Saccharomyces cerevisiae S288C: one gene and its partners. Changing the gene in region 1 together with any one later gene gives a genetic interaction. Each region holds a gene or a part of one and is shown on either strand. Other genes may lie near its edges.

Region 1 (6,068 bases):
CGAAAAATCTGCTGCAAATTGCTACCTCTTTCATCATTCTAAAGTAAGTCCTTCTCTTATTCCTAGATGTTCGAGCAATACCAATTAAACTTGGCACGATGCGTGCAATTAAGAGTAATCGGGCACTGCACTCCGACTGGAGTCCGACGAATATCGTAGTGATCTTTTTTATCTACAGTACTGGTTGCTTATATCTTCCAGTGTATATATTCAATGTGGGAAGGAGGGAAAGGTCATTTTGCTAATTTTCATTTTTTCTCGCCTTTTAAAGCATGAGAAGAAAAGTTGACCATGTGTGCCAAAAAAAAAAAAGGTAGGGCTACCATCCTAATTAGAGTAATTTAAGGAATTTATTAAAATGCAATGTTAACTTTTTATAGAGTGCGTAAATAACTATGTAATGGTAAATACATGGCATACAGTATATGCGTGTTTACCACCATATATACGTGTATACTTATATTTTGTCTGCCGTTATATATAGCCAAGACCTTTTTCCTTCATGGGTTGTTCAACTTTCCACGGTAAAATCGGACATAATCAGACCATATCTTATTCATGGAAATTCGTTTCTTTTTCAAATACTGCAGGTCCTTATCACTGCACCATCTACAAGATGCAAATTTTCTTTCCAAAACAGCATACCTTTCATCTTCCTTGCGTTGCTGCTGAGCCAGGATTTCCACGTATTCCTTGGCATTGAGCTTCATGCCTTCTTTGTTTCTTAAATTGGTAATGCATAATCCGATGGTAGATTGCGTTTGTAACGACGAGCGATTGATGCGATGAGTACCCTCTGTGACAGAGAGTACGGGAACAAAACTTTGTAAGGCTTCTTTATCCAGATATATTTCACTTGGCTTTGTTTGCTGTTCAGGCAGTACATTTTTTTTGCTTGAATTTTTAGACAGTATCTTTCTACTTGACGTTCTTTTAGGAACATTAATCTTACCTTCTTCGCGTAGTGGAGAGATGTCGTCTGTTGATGATTCTGGAAGAGATGTTGATGCTCGATTAAATGTACTCACGCCATCTATTGAAACTCGATCATTTTCTTTTGAGACTGGCGTTGTCGGATGTCCTCCCACGGTTGATAAAGAGGAAAACGACAATTCTGTAGGCCCCGTAGTCACCATAGATTTGGGTGATAAAGTGAGAATTTCCTTACTATTATTACTGTCGCTCAATATTCTAGTAAAACCTCTCTTTATCTTAGAACCTAGAGATGTCTTTCTGTAGACGTGTTCTGTGTCATTTGGAGTGGACACTAAGACCTCCTCCGAAGCTCGACTGCTATTCGCAAACTTGCTGTCCGAATTGAGGCGCGAATAAAGCTTCGAGCACGAAAGCTGCCTCCTAGGTAGTTTATTATCAATAGTGGAAGATCGTCGAATTAGCATGGGCTGCCGAGCATTTAGATCTGACTCAAATGTTGAGGATGTCGATAAAGTAGGTGTATTTGTTCTGGTTAAATTGGAGCAATTTTTGGCAGATGTCTTTCTTAATAGGGCACTAGATGCTCTTCTCAAAAAAGGCATTTTCTTTTCTCCCCCTGTCAGTCCGGATTCAGACTGAAACGTAACAGGCGTTTGAGTGTTTGATACTGGTGTAGGTAAGTTATGAAAGTGTAAGGCGATATTGTTCTCAGCTGGTGCTACCTTGGCGTACTGGTTCGAAATTTGGGTGCTTAAGGGTGGCAATTTCTGAAGACGATCTTCAAAAGTCACCGTATTCTTCCTACTCCTGTTACTCTTCCTTGATAACTTTCTTTCTACAGAATTAATATTTTGAGGCAGTCCTGAAATGATCGTATCTCTCAGTGTAGATGCCAGTGCACTAGAATTAGATCTGCTTCTTTCTCTCAAAGGTGCATTGTTCTGTTGCTGTTCACGGACAGAGGAAGGTAAAACAGGAATTGGAGTTATTATTTTCTTGGGATCATATTGCATTGTTGCCCCGTGATCCGACGTAGAGGAGGACGAAGTCGTGTTTGCTTCACGTTCTGCGCTTTCAGGAGATGATAAATTTGGTTTCAGAGTGGAATTGCTTACCGGTGTCCTTGAACGTCTTCCCTCAGAACCGGAACTATTAATAATATTAGAAATATTTGAATGGCTAGTCATCTCTAGAGCTTTAGAAAGATCAAATGACGTCTGATTGTCAAGAATAGTAGCGCTTAATTGCGAATCGTCGTTTGTCGACGCATCGTGGCCATGAGTCATGACAACAAACCCCTGATCTTCACCCGTAGCATCTCGAGTAGAGTTCGCTAACTTTGTTAACACGTCATCTGGTTCTAGCCTTGAAGAGTGGCTGATGTCATCTCGTTCAAAAATAGCCTCGTTGATATCAAATTGTGGAGTGATTTCCATTTCTCCTGTGTGAGGTAAAGGTGGTAACAAAGCCAATTCTTCTTTACTGTTACCTTTATCGCTGAGAACGCCCAGTTCCTCATGCAAATTAGGAGCTGATAAAGAAATATTAGTATTTGATTTTTCTATTTCGTGTAACATGTCCAAGTTATCGCGCAAATCAATATTGGATGAAGATGAGGACGTAGAGGAGATCCTCCCCAAAACACGAGGAGATGAACGATCCACTTGGGTGAGTTCGTCATCGTTTGTTTCCTCCTCCTTAATATTTTGCAAATGCGTAGTAACTGTTGTTGAGCTCGATGTTGGTGTGGCGCTCTTGGGCATCGTAGGCAGGGTAGTACCGTTATACACAGTGACTCTATTAGAGCCAGAGTTCCTGAATCTAGGTGGCGAACTATCTTGGTGTTCCATGACAAACTTTTGTGAACTTTTTTTTTATTTCTTTTCTTTTTTCTTCTCAAAGAAAAGACCAAATATCGATTCTAAATAGGTATCAATAAGTTATAATAATGTATTGGAAATTATTTCTTAAAAAACAGGATTTTAAATTGGATATATAAATAAGATAATGTTTTGATAATGAATGGGGTATAATGGTACGATAAGTCTTTTATGACTCGCAAAATTCACAGCGTTGTTCGATAAACCGGGCAAAGTATGGGCATATAGGCGTATGGAAAGAAAATTATGGGAAAAAGTACAGTATTTTGGTTTTCTTTTTCTTTATAGAAACAAAAACACTGTGTGTGGAAATTAGGGAGTAGAATGCGTGTGGCAGATGGTAAGCTTTTCAAATCGGACTGTGAATATATATTCAATTTAAAGAAGCAAACTTTATGAGTGGGCAGTTTTTGAAGTCATTCCATTCCATTCTATATCAGCAAGTTTTCTTGGCGAGATCCGAAATCCGAAAAACATGAGATCGTATTAAATGATATAATGTAAGGCTCGTTAAAACATATATGAGCTAACTATACCGTGCTATGTTATATTTTGCATTTTTATTATTGCTGTTATTTTATATAGGTTTTATGCCCAATATATATCGCCGTTTTTAATGGTTAGATTTTTTCTTTTTGTCCTGCTCTTGCTGCTCTTGCTTTTCTTGTTCGATTTGGGTGACGTACTGGTTAATTTCCTCACTGCTCAACGCAACAATATCTGAGTCCGGCTTAACAACAGTGATTTCAATATTTTTTGCACCTGTTTGAACTACCTCCAACAGAGATCTTACAGTAAGTTTGACACATTCTTCCACTGTGGCTGGTGGTTCTTTGCGATCGTAATTCTTCTCCAAAAACTCACGTACCGTCTTGGAGTTTCTCCCAATGGTCTGAGCGGACCACGAAGAGTATATACCACTTGGCTCGGTCTGGTAAAGCTTGGGTTCATCATCTCTCGGGTCGAAGCCGGCAATCAGCGTCGACACACCAAATGGTCTAACACCTCCTGACTGCGTGTACCTTTGTTGCACACCAGCGACATAACGTGTGAGATACTCCACCGTCACGGGATCCTCCAACGTTAGTCTGTGACTTTGGGCCTCCACTCTAGCCTTCTCGATAAGAATTCTGGAATCTGCATTTAAACCAGAAAATGACAACACCACATGCGAGTCAATTTTGGAAACTTTGGAAGGCGTAATTCTAGTGTCTTGCAGCTTCAAAGTAGACCTTCTTTCGCAGCCCAATACTACACAATTCTTACCCTTGACACCTACAGCACAGGTACCCCTCTTTACCGCCTCCAGGGCGTACTCCACTTGGAAAATGTGTCCATCTGGGGAGAAAATGGACAAAGCTCTATCGTAACCACTCATTTTGTGTAATTGTGTTTATGCAACTGATCCTGATGAACTGCTGAGCACTAACTTGAAGGTTTTGCTACCACCTATATATGATGTCTTTTCTTTCCCTTCCGGTGGCAAAAGAATCTTCGAAAAGATTAAGAAATACCGTTGCCCGGATGATATTCTTACCCATAGTAATGGTCCTTAAAGCTTTAATCGTCAATGAACAAGGGCACACAGCACACTAGGTCTCAATTCATTTCCAAATATTCAAAGAAAGCGACGTGAGTATTTTATTTAAGTACTAGGTACGCAATTGATGGGATATTCAACTTATATGATTTGATGAAATACATGGGGTCCTTCCTGAGGAAAGCGGCTACAACAAATTTATTCAATAGCATAAAAAAAAGGAAGGTACAAAACAGAGCCATGTCATAGAGCAAAGAAAGAGCACACATAATATTCTAACCAGTAAAACAATCGGTTTGAATTTTGAAGATGAAGAAGTATATTTATATATAATTTCTTCCCTTTTTTTTTTATTTTTTTTTTGAAACAATGCATTAAACCATTACTTATATTATTTATATGTATAAATAGATATTAAATCATGGATTTAAACTTGAAAAGGATTAGGAAAAAAAGAGTATGGTCGCCGTAAAAAAGAGGAAAGGGTTTATTTTTGCGCCCTTCCCTCTATAACTTCCAAGATATGATATAACGAGATTGCACAAATTTACTCAACCTTAGTCGAATAAACCGAAACCCATGTCGTCGTCAGATTCTTCAGCGGCTTCTTCTTCCTTTTCTTCTTCAGCAGCAGCATCACCAGAGGCAGCAGCAGCACCGCCAGCAGAAGCTGGACCAGCAGCTGGAACAGCAGCCAACTTTTCGTTACCTTCAGTAATTAATTCGTCAACAGACTTACCTTCCAAAGCGGACAAAACGGAGGAAACCTTTTCGTCTTCGATTTCGATACCGACGGATTCCAAAATAGCCTTAATCTTGGTGGCATCTGGGGTGTTACCAGCAGCGTTCAATAATAGGTAAGCAGCTAAGTACTTCATTTTTGTATGATTGGTTCTGTTGTTGTGTATGAATTTCCAATGAGAAAAAAATCACTAAAATAATAGAAAAAGCTTTTGAATAAACGGAAGTAGAAATTACCAGAAGTAACAATTGAAAAACCTCGAATAATAACGGCTCTCCGCTACTAGGTTAACTAAACTTCAAGCGGGTATCAACGCTTTGGAGTTCCATGCAAAATGTTTCACGTTTCGCGCGTCTTCCGCATATCGTCCGGTATAGTCTCTCCCCTGGTATTCCCCTCGGCTGCCATGAGTTACAGCCTCAAAACAGGTACAAAACTTTTTTAATCCGTACACCGCGCGTATAAATCAATGTTATGTCTGGGCGTATAGTCCCGGAAACCGTGTTGGGCGGCAGTTCCGCCCAACACGGGCCTAGACACTTAGAGGGAGCGTCCTCCTAGAACCGATTTTCGTTTCTCTTTGGAAGGTCTCTTCCGTCCGTTTCACTCGGAGTAGGTTCTCTGAGAAACTCCTTGCTGGGAAGCTGCGAGACAACACCGTAATCGTCTGCTTGGCCCTTCCTATCCGCAATCAATTTATTCCTTTTTAATCTTTTGTGCAGAGTTTCACATTATGGTATGGTCTCTTCTTTTATTTGTTCTTGGATTTCATTTTTTTCTTATTTGTTAGTGCTTATCCTTACATTGTAGAATAAGACGAACTAGAAGTACACAACAAGATAATCACGACCGATCATGTCTCAAGCTGTTAATGCCAAGAAGAGAGTTTTTAAGACCCACTCTTACAGAGGTGTCGATTTGGAAAAATTGTTGGAAATGTCCACTGAAGATTTCGTCAAGTTGGCCCCAG
Region 2 (4,586 bases), on another chromosome or scaffold:
AGTGTATGGTATAAACGTTAATAAGTGCTTATCAAAGTATTACCCGCTTTAACAGTTTTTGTGTTTTTTTCAAGAAAAATATTATATGTATGAATATAGAACATGAGTTTATATGGAGAAAGTGTCTCGACAGCTTTTAAAGTCCCGAAAGGACTAATATCGAATAAAAGTTGCATCCATTAATATACCAATAAATAAAGGGAAAGATGTCCCTGGAAGAATTTGACGAAGTTAAATATGATCATTCAACTAAACGCCTAGATACACCATCAAGGTACCTGCTGCGCAAGGCTAGAAGAAACCCTAACGGGCTACAAGAACTGCGTGAGTCGATGAAGTCATCCACAATTTATGTAGGAAATCTTTCCTTTTATACATCAGAAGAACAAATTTACGAATTATTCAGTAAATGTGGCACAATAAAAAGAATAATTATGGGTTTGGACCGTTTTAAGTTCACGCCATGTGGCTTCTGTTTTATTATATATAGTTGTCCAGATGAAGCATTGAATGCCTTAAAATATTTGTCCGATACAAAGTTAGACGAAAAGACAATTACCATTGATCTAGATCCTGGTTTTGAAGATGGAAGACAGTTTGGTCGTGGTAAGAGCGGTGGTCAAGTCAGCGATGAATTGAGGTTCGATTTTGATGCATCCAGAGGTGGCTTCGCCATTCCATTTGCAGAGCGTGTCGGCGTACCACATTCCAGATTTGATAACAGTAGCTCACAATCTAATACGAATAATTATATCCCTCCTCCTGATGCAATGGGTACTTTCAGACCAGGTTTCGATGAAGAAAGAGAAGATGATAACTACGTACCTCAGTAGAATCAATCAATTTATATCTGAGAAAGATTCTACACACAGATATATATATATATATATATATTATTGTATATATACATACCTACATTATTTTTAAAGGCTTGCATGATGCTGTTATGTAAAAAAAAAAAAAAAAAATCAGTGTAACATAATAGACGTAACACGTTCAATGACATGATAATACTATATATAGTAACGATAAAATGTAAATGGTAATAGATATAATTATATGAATATTTAAGTAATGCATTGATAAGTGATCAATTCATATCAGGGTTGGATAGCTTTTTCAATTCTTCCAGCCTATCAATTAGTTTTTTACGGCGTGTAACGGGGGCATGAGCAAATCTCTTGGATAATTCATAATCCGTGGAGCAGGTTGACGTAGCATCGTACATAGTATTATTTGTGGCAGATAATGTGTTATGATATGCTGAGACGTTTTGAACTCGTTCCACTGGGGTATTATTCGCGTTGTCATTAGGAATTGAGTTTACCAGGGTATAGTAATCACTAAATATTTTGCGTCTTCTCACATTTATGAACCAATTAGAAAGTTGAATCTTGGTTAGCCCAGTTTTGATTAACAACTCCCTCTTTTCTTGTTGAGTTGGGTAGGGGTTATTCAGGTGGTTCAGCAACCAAGTATTCAGTATCTGCACTGTTTCCTTTGGCAGGTTAGACCTCCTGCCCGAATTTTGCTTCCTCCTTGATTTAGATTCTACAAAATCCGAAAATGGCCTGTTGTATTGTGCCCCCGCATCCTTTTCCTTATTGATTATTTCATATATTGGGGCGGATTTGTAGCAGGGCTTTGCATCATCGGACGCCGATTTTGACTTCTTTGAACTGCCATATTGAGATTGTGTATCCATAGCACTGCTACTCGTCTTGGACGTTTCAACTGTAGAAGCAGTAGGAGTAGCAGTAGTACTAGTACCGCCAGAATTAATTGCGGGATACGCAATCGAATGATGCTGTGGAAGTAACACAGGCGCAGGATAGTTTTGTTCCTCGGTACTAGACCGAAGGTTCCCATGCGAGTATTCTATGTTCGAAAATGCCAACTCGGGCATACTCCGTTTTTCTATGGAGTTAAATAGAACTTGGATAGGGGGTAGACTGACTTGATTGTCAACATTCTTACTGTTCCTGTTTTGTATTTCGCAGTTATAATTCATCTTCGAATGTAACTATTCTCGAAGGTTGTTAGCATAAAAGTAGGGGCTCGGCAAGTAGCGATCAGTAGCACTGGATAGGCGTGGTATCGCTTGAAAACAAGGGTGGGAAGATCAACTAAAAAATTGTATTAGTATATATCTTGACCAATTTAACATAATCTTACCAATTAACAGAAACAGGAGGCATTAAGAGACAAGAAAACGCCGGGCGCGACGAAATCAGTCATAGAAAATTAATCATTAATATATACACGCTGTAAGAAAACAAAAGGACAAAAATTAATTACCAAAAGAAAAAAACAAACTACAGCTTGATGTACATGAATAAATTAAGGTTCAACAAAAGAGAAAAGCTGAGAGACGTAAGATGGCAGAAATGACCCGTTCCCACAGAAAGAAATCTGAATCCGAAGAAGGAAGTAATACGCGCGTGAGCGGATAAGGTTTCTTATCTAGCCAATCACAAAAATCAACAGTAGTAATTCTCGTGGGATTCTTTTGTGTCTCTTAAAATTGCCCTTTACGTACAGTCTTCGTCCATTATCAGGACGATTTGACAGAAAATGAGCGAGATCAGAAATATACCGCTACCGATCATGAGTGCTCAGAAAACCCCGTGGATAACCCAACGGTCCGAAAGTGACAGTTTTTTCTTTTGCCGCTTTACTTTTTTTGCGTCTTAAAGGGCTGTGGCTCCTCTGCGCCTGCGCCAGAGTAGCGGTAGGGTTCTTACTTCGGGCAACGCCGACTCTGGGTGCATTCGCCAGTGTGAGGAAGCACGCTGCTTGTGCTTGTTGGAAGTGTGGACTAGGTCAAGCCCGCCGGACACTAGGAAACACGCACAAAATTCTCAGGCACTAAATAGGCCAGAAGCAAAAAGCCGTCGGTAGTGCTCCTTTTCTCTGTTGCCGTTAACGGTCAGGTCTGTTAAGACACATAACGAAAAGCATATGTATAATAGGCACCGACATTTGTGCGGCATATTCTGTGCTTAGTTTGCAGTACAAGACGAGCTTCGGAGGCATACTACTTTAATCATATTTGCTCACTTTTAAGTTGCTCACTTTCTAATACGTGCATTCCTTTACAAGCTTACTAACACATTGGCTTGGCACTTAAAACACTAATGAAACGTGTTTAAGGGGCCCGACAATATTGCTATTATGTCGCTCTCAACAGCTTGTTTGCGAATTTTAAATTTGATAGCTCCCTCTTTCTCCTCCTCTACCGTTCGACATGACTAAAAGGCGTTGGCACGATTTTCTTTGATGCTAATGTAATCAAGTCAAGTATGGGTTGCTTTGACGATCCAGATGCAGAAGTCAAAGTTACGAGTCAAAACCTACGAGACTAGACATATCTCTGCAGATGAAAAGGCCTGTTCTATAAAAAAAAAATCACTGTTAAAGTTCAGACAGAAGCTTATTTCAAGGAAAGCACTGTGATTGATTTATTCACTATCGAGTTTCTACAGGTGTTGAAGTTCATATATTTGCACGTGCTCGTAGCTCTTTTCTTCCTTTTTGAGACATAAAAATATGGAATATCTTGGCACCCGTTACAAGCCGTCTCTAAAAATATACATGGCGTACATAATAATCTCCAGCTGATTCAAATATCCCGCGCTTTTCCCGTGGTAAATACTGTGTGTCCTATTAGGCTTTCTCTTGGCATTTCACTTCTTAACCTCTAAGGTATTCAAGGGGCGGAGGTGTAATAAAAACAAGAAAAAAAAAAAAAAGAGGAAATTTGTGGCAATCTTCCTAATATAACTATGTTGAAATGTGTGTACTAACACCTTATACTATCTATATCCTTTGTCTAAACAGCTCTGCCGATAAAAAAATTCCCCGCGGAGATGTCCATACTGACTAATAAAATTGTCCCGCACAGGCAAAAAGCAACTTTAAATGCATGGGCTCCTAATCTTAGAATTAAACGTATTTAGTCTTCCTAGGCAAGAAATCTACAAGTCATAGGAGTATATGTTGTGTATACTATAGTTGATTGCCTGCATAAATCGATGTGTAATTTTCTTTCAACCGATAACTAAAATTCGTTCGTGTTTATTCCATGAAGGTTTTTATTCTCAAGAAAATAGCGTGCTGTATTTTGTAAAATTGTGCCGAGTGTGTTAGCTTGAACCTGCACAGAGCTCCAGTCCTTGATTGCAATAGTGTCCCTGATTTCAGGGAACGTCCATGAACGAAGTGGGTCACCTTTGTCGACCCAGAGTTTTGGCCCGAAGATAACGTTCTTGTAAAAGGTTCTATCCATTAACCCTTCCTCCAAACATTGGGTAACGCCTATTAGGGAAAGTAGGTAGTTCCATGACCAACGATTAATGGCAATGATAGTGGGTTCTATATATGTACCGGCTCCATACATAAGCTCTGTCCATTCGCTTTTCCATTTTTCGAACTGCAGTTTAGTGTTTTCCCACAATGTTGTGCCCAAAAAGACTTCGTCAAAGTTTACCGTATCAGGACATTCTTTTTGGAGGTCTTTTAACGTAGTTGAAAGGAAATCTACGTAGTTCGATATGCTGAATGGGATGAATGGATCGTCAATGAGC
Region 3 (4,767 bases), on another chromosome or scaffold:
ACTATAACTTAATTTTATTAGTTACCTCTTACTAAGGATACTGATTCTTCCCCACTCATTTCATGAATTCATCACAAGTCTTTAGTATTTTTCATATGGAAATTACATCACCTATATATATCAAAATGTTCCGGCGAGTACATTGTCAGAATCTACAGTTTTTCCTGATATGAGCAGTGATATGGAGAAAGAGACACTAAATAAGAACAAAATATTGCCGTAGATTTAATGATTCAATCATGTGTGTCAAATTTGTTCTCCATTGCATCTTCCTATTTGACATTTGTCTCATGACCACGACATTGTACATTACCAGGTAAGGCTACAATTAGCCTCACCGATGTAACGTTATATAACGCTGCGGTCGTAGAATATGATTTTTCTGAATTTTAATTTTTTTTTTTTTTTTTTTCATTTCTTTAACATCTAAAATAGATTTTAGAATCAGAAAAGTGAAGAGTATTCCACATCATCGACTTATTCTACCAACATTTAATAAGAACGTACCCAAGAATAAAAGTCCACAAGTATAACAATGTCTCGCGAAGGGTTCCAGATTCCAACAAATTTAGACGCCGCAGCTGCAGGTACTTCTCAAGCTAGAACGGCAACTTTGAAGTATATTTGTGCTGAATGTTCTAGTAAATTATCTTTATCCAGAACTGATGCAGTCCGTTGTAAGGACTGTGGTCATAGAATCCTGTTGAAGGCTAGGACTAAGAGATTGGTTCAATTTGAAGCTAGATGAATGGAGAGACTGAAAACCATAATGGGTTACCGGGGCAGAATAATACGAAATAAAGAACCTAGGTTTTCCAAGGTTTTTGCAATATATAAACTTGTGCTTGATTTAAGTTTATGCAGCACTTTTCTTCCAGCAAATTCTTTATGTTTTTTTAAGGGAAAACGTATATCACTTAGAGATTATATTAATGAAAAAAGGTGTATACAAATGTATAATAATAATAGTATATAAGAAAAGTATTCGCTATTTATAGTGATTTTAGTTTGTACAATGTACTGTATTTTTTTTAAATGTAGTATTTTATATATATGTTACATTAGTTCGAACTGAAAAGGAACTTATGAATTAAATCATCACAATTCTTGGTTCTTCCGTAAAGCTGAATTGCCGGACGGTTATTCCCGCATTCTTCAAGACCTTGAAACTTTCCTCGTCCATTCTATAACTTTGGCTATAAACTACTTCACTGATGCCTGTTTGAACAATCTTTACAGAACATGTTAAGCAAGGGCAAGTATCACAGTATAAGGTCGCATTTTGACCTACACGATCCCTGCCAGCTTCCAGTAGTGCATTCTCTTCTGCATGTAAGCATAAGCAAGTGTGCAGATTTCTAGAATCACCGTCATTGCAACGTGGGCAACCGCCATTGAAACAATTTGTTAAATGTCGAGGAGTCCCATTATAGCCAGTAGCAATCACTCTGCATTCTCTCACAATCACGCAACCAACTCTACGTTTCATGCAATTGGAACGAGATGCTGCTAGTGTGGCTAACTTCATAAAATAGCTATCCCAACTAGGCCTCATTAATGGAGCCATTTGTTTCTCTTTGTCATCGAGAATCTTTAATTGTGTGGTAATGTTATTAATCAAGCTCTGTCTCCTTCCTCTGCGGTCCTCATTAACTATTTTAAATCTCAAATGGGATTTCTCCCTTAATTTGATGCCTTCAGGCTGAAAGTCATGTTGATCAATGGCTTGTATTATTTGTTCTAATGATAAGCTTTCTGCTTGAGTCGTTTTCCTGTATAATGCTACCCTTGTAGTGACAGGAGCGTCGATAGAAAGATGAACAAAAAATGGTCTCTTTTCCAGTTTCTCCAGTAATGATAATTTTTCTAGGAATATAACTGAATTTTTTGTGTAATTTTTCGTAGCATAATCTAATATCTCCTCTGGATTATCTAGGTGATTGAGTAATTCAAAATGAAAATGATCAACCAACATGTTAATAACATCTTCGCATCCGCAAAATTTCGTACCACTTACACCAATTAACATAATCGTGTTATATTGATTAGTGTAGCATTCACACCTTTAATGTGCCAAAAAAAGATGTTGAATTCTATGGTAATGCAGAAGTTTCAATTCTCGAGATTGCCTACATCATCTCATAACTGCGTACCGCGCGTTCTTGCAAAGAACAAAAAAGTGAAAAAATTATAATGGGGCGAGCTGGGAATTGAACCCAGGGCCTCTCGCATGCTTTGTCTTCCTGTTTAGGCAGGAAGTCGCCCAAAGCGAGAATCATACCACTAGACCACACGCCCATGTATCTGTTGGTGTTCTAAATAAAGAATTAAACTATGTAGGCATAAAAAGAGACGGGAGCATCTTAAAGATGCAACTGGATGGAGAATGGCAAAATATGAAGAAGAAGGAAGGAAAAGAAATATTATTATGCGTAACTGTTGATTCCTTTTTGTGGATTTCTTGAGGAGAATGTCTTTTTGAAGAGTGGGTGAATTTTGAGATAATTGTTGGGATTCCATTTTTAATAAGGCAATAATATTAGGTATGTAGAATGTACTAGAAGTTCTCCTCGAGGATTTAGGAATCCATAAAAGGGAATCTGCAATTCTACACAATTCTATAAATATTATTATCATCATTTTATATGTTAATATTCATTGATCCTATTACATTATCAATCCTTGCGTTTCAGCTTCCACTAATTTAGATGACTATTTCTCATCATTTGCGTCATCTTCTAACACCGTATATGATAATATACTAGTAACGTAAATACTAGTTAGTAGATGATAGTTGATTTTTATTCCAACACTTTTATATATTCTGTATTTGATGTTATAGCTTTATCAATTACAGAATGCCAAAAATTATCAAATTATTCACCAATATCCCAAATTTTAATGCAACCGTTATGATCCGACTATTGATAAAGGAAATTCCTATTCTACATAATGTTACTGGTATTTCTTCTTCCGTTTTTTATGTCGTCATTCGTCATCCTATTGCATTATCAATCTTTGCGTTTCAGCTTCCATTAAATTATGAAGATTATTTTTCAATCTTAAAGTCATCTTCTTACACTGGATATAATAATATACTAGCAGTATGAATATTAGTCGATAGACGATAGTTGGTTCTATTTCGACGGGTAATATTCTACTAATACCAATGACACTATTAATTTACCTAACAGAAATTCTTCTTCAATTGACCCTAGCGTTTGCCTTATTATCAAGACACTGAAGGTAAAGTTGCCGATAAACTTTTTGGGTTCCACTGTGCACCTATTTCTATGCTTCAATAAGCAGTTCCAGGTAAGGTTTCACCATTTCAACCCAAGTAAATGCTATGTAGTTATAATATTAATTAATGTGTTCTACTGGTTTTTCTGTGCATAAAAAAGACGCTCTGACGCCATTTATCTTGGTGTGTTACCCGTTAGGAAAAGTGGCGTTGCTAAAATTGTTGAAACCCGATCTCATCGCCTGGTAAACAATACAAACAAGGATTTGAACAAGGTTTTATCATTTTCTGATACGTTTTTTGTACTTACAAAATAAAAGATACAAAAATCACTAAGAAAACTAATCTATCAATAAAAATGAGTAGTGAACTCATGTTCAACTATACTTTTAGCTGGCCTGCTGGTCCAAAAGATGTTATTTTAACAGGAACGTTTGATGACTGGAGGGGCACTTTACCCCTCGTGAAGACCGCCAAGGGAAATTTCGAAATTACTATGCCCGTGAAGCTAGCCAACAAGGATGATACGTTTCAGTTTAAGTTTATTGTGGATGGCGTTTGGTGCGTTAGTGATTCGTATAAAAAGGAGCATGTTAGTGAAGGAATCGAAAACAATTTCTTACAAATTACCGATTTAGTTGAAACGCAGGAAGTTGCCGGTGCCAGTAGAATCCCGGAGGCAGGTGGCCTATTATGTGGTAAACCGCCTCGTTCAGCAGGTCCTCCTTCTACAAGTAATAGAAAGAAAAACAAGCGTAACAATAAGAAAAGAAGATCTAAATTGAAGAAAAAGAGTACTAAGAACAACAAGAAGTCAAATGAAAGTTTAGACGATAATGAAGAAGAAGACGGGGTGACTGGAACTACTACTGAAGATGTTACTGGAACCTCTAGGGAAGAAACTCCATTGGCGGAGCCTACTAATGTTTCCAAAGAAGCTCCGGGCAATTTCCATATTCTGCCAATCGATCAAAGTGCAGACACAACTCAATCAAATGGTATAATTGGTGGACCAGGTCCTGTTCTTGTCCCAAACCCTGGTGAAATCAAGGAATTTACCGAAATTAGAGACGTTGATGCTAGGGAATTGAATGAAAGACTTAACAAAAAAGAAGAGGTTCCAGAACCCGTTGCTGGCCCTATTGTTGAATCATCAGTTACGGAAAAGAGTCCTGCTCTTCCACAAGCTGACGACCCGATTGTTGAGACCAAGGAAGTGGCTCATAATGTGCAGGAACTTACTCCTCAAGTGGAAGCGGTTACTCCGTTAATAAATGAGCCCGAACCATTACCAACTCCGGAAGCACAAATATCTATACCTGAGTCATCGAAAGTTGAACCAGTGGAGGGGTCTCTTCAATCTAAGTTGGTGGAGAAACGTGAGTCCACTGAAGGTGTATTAGACGGTTCCAAAAAAGTAGAAAATAAGGCAAAAAAAGATGAAGAGGTCTTTACATTAGACCCCATCGTTAACAAAGCTCCCAAGCTACCCTTGACTGACGAGCAAACAGCTGAAGGTAGAA

The links. A genetic interaction does not mean that the proteins touch.
Region 2: mutations in YOL036W (region 1) and CUP9 together harm fitness more than expected from each alone (negative genetic interaction), as found in Saccharomyces cerevisiae (one large-scale study listed by BioGRID).
Region 3: mutations in YOL036W (region 1) and DCD1 together harm fitness more than expected from each alone (negative genetic interaction), as found in Saccharomyces cerevisiae (one large-scale study listed by BioGRID).

Annotation. Positions count from the first base shown.
Region 1 is NC_001147.6:253,463-259,530, reverse strand, and holds YOL036W (uncharacterized protein), read right to left. Parts: upstream 2,787-6,068; coding exon 501-2,786; downstream 1-500. Other genes in the region: PRE6 (proteasome core particle subunit alpha 4), read right to left, coding at 3,430-4,194; YOL038C-A (uncharacterized protein), read left to right, coding at 4,510-4,605; ribosomal protein P2 RPP2A, read right to left, coding at 4,914-5,234; 40S ribosomal protein uS19 RPS15, read left to right, coding at 5,954-6,068.
Region 2 is NC_001148.4:211,952-216,537, forward strand, and holds CUP9 (Cup9p), read right to left. Parts: upstream 2,012-4,586; coding exon 1,091-2,011; downstream 1-1,090. Other genes in the region: nuclear cap-binding protein subunit CBC2, read left to right, coding at 207-833; TRE1 (Tre1p), read right to left, coding at 4,061-4,586. UniProt on the Saccharomyces cerevisiae protein: Probable DNA-binding protein which plays a role in protecting yeast cells against copper toxicity. May regulate the expression of important copper homeostatic genes.
Region 3 is NC_001140.6:386,698-391,464, forward strand, and holds DCD1 (deoxycytidine monophosphate deaminase), read right to left. Parts: upstream 2,030-4,767; coding exon 1,091-2,029; downstream 1-1,090. Other genes in the region: DNA-directed RNA polymerase core subunit RPC10, read left to right, coding at 536-748; CRP1 (Crp1p), read left to right, coding at 3,603-4,767. UniProt on the Saccharomyces cerevisiae protein: Catalyzes the hydrolytic deamination of dCMP to yield dUMP, the nucleotide substrate for thymidylate synthetase.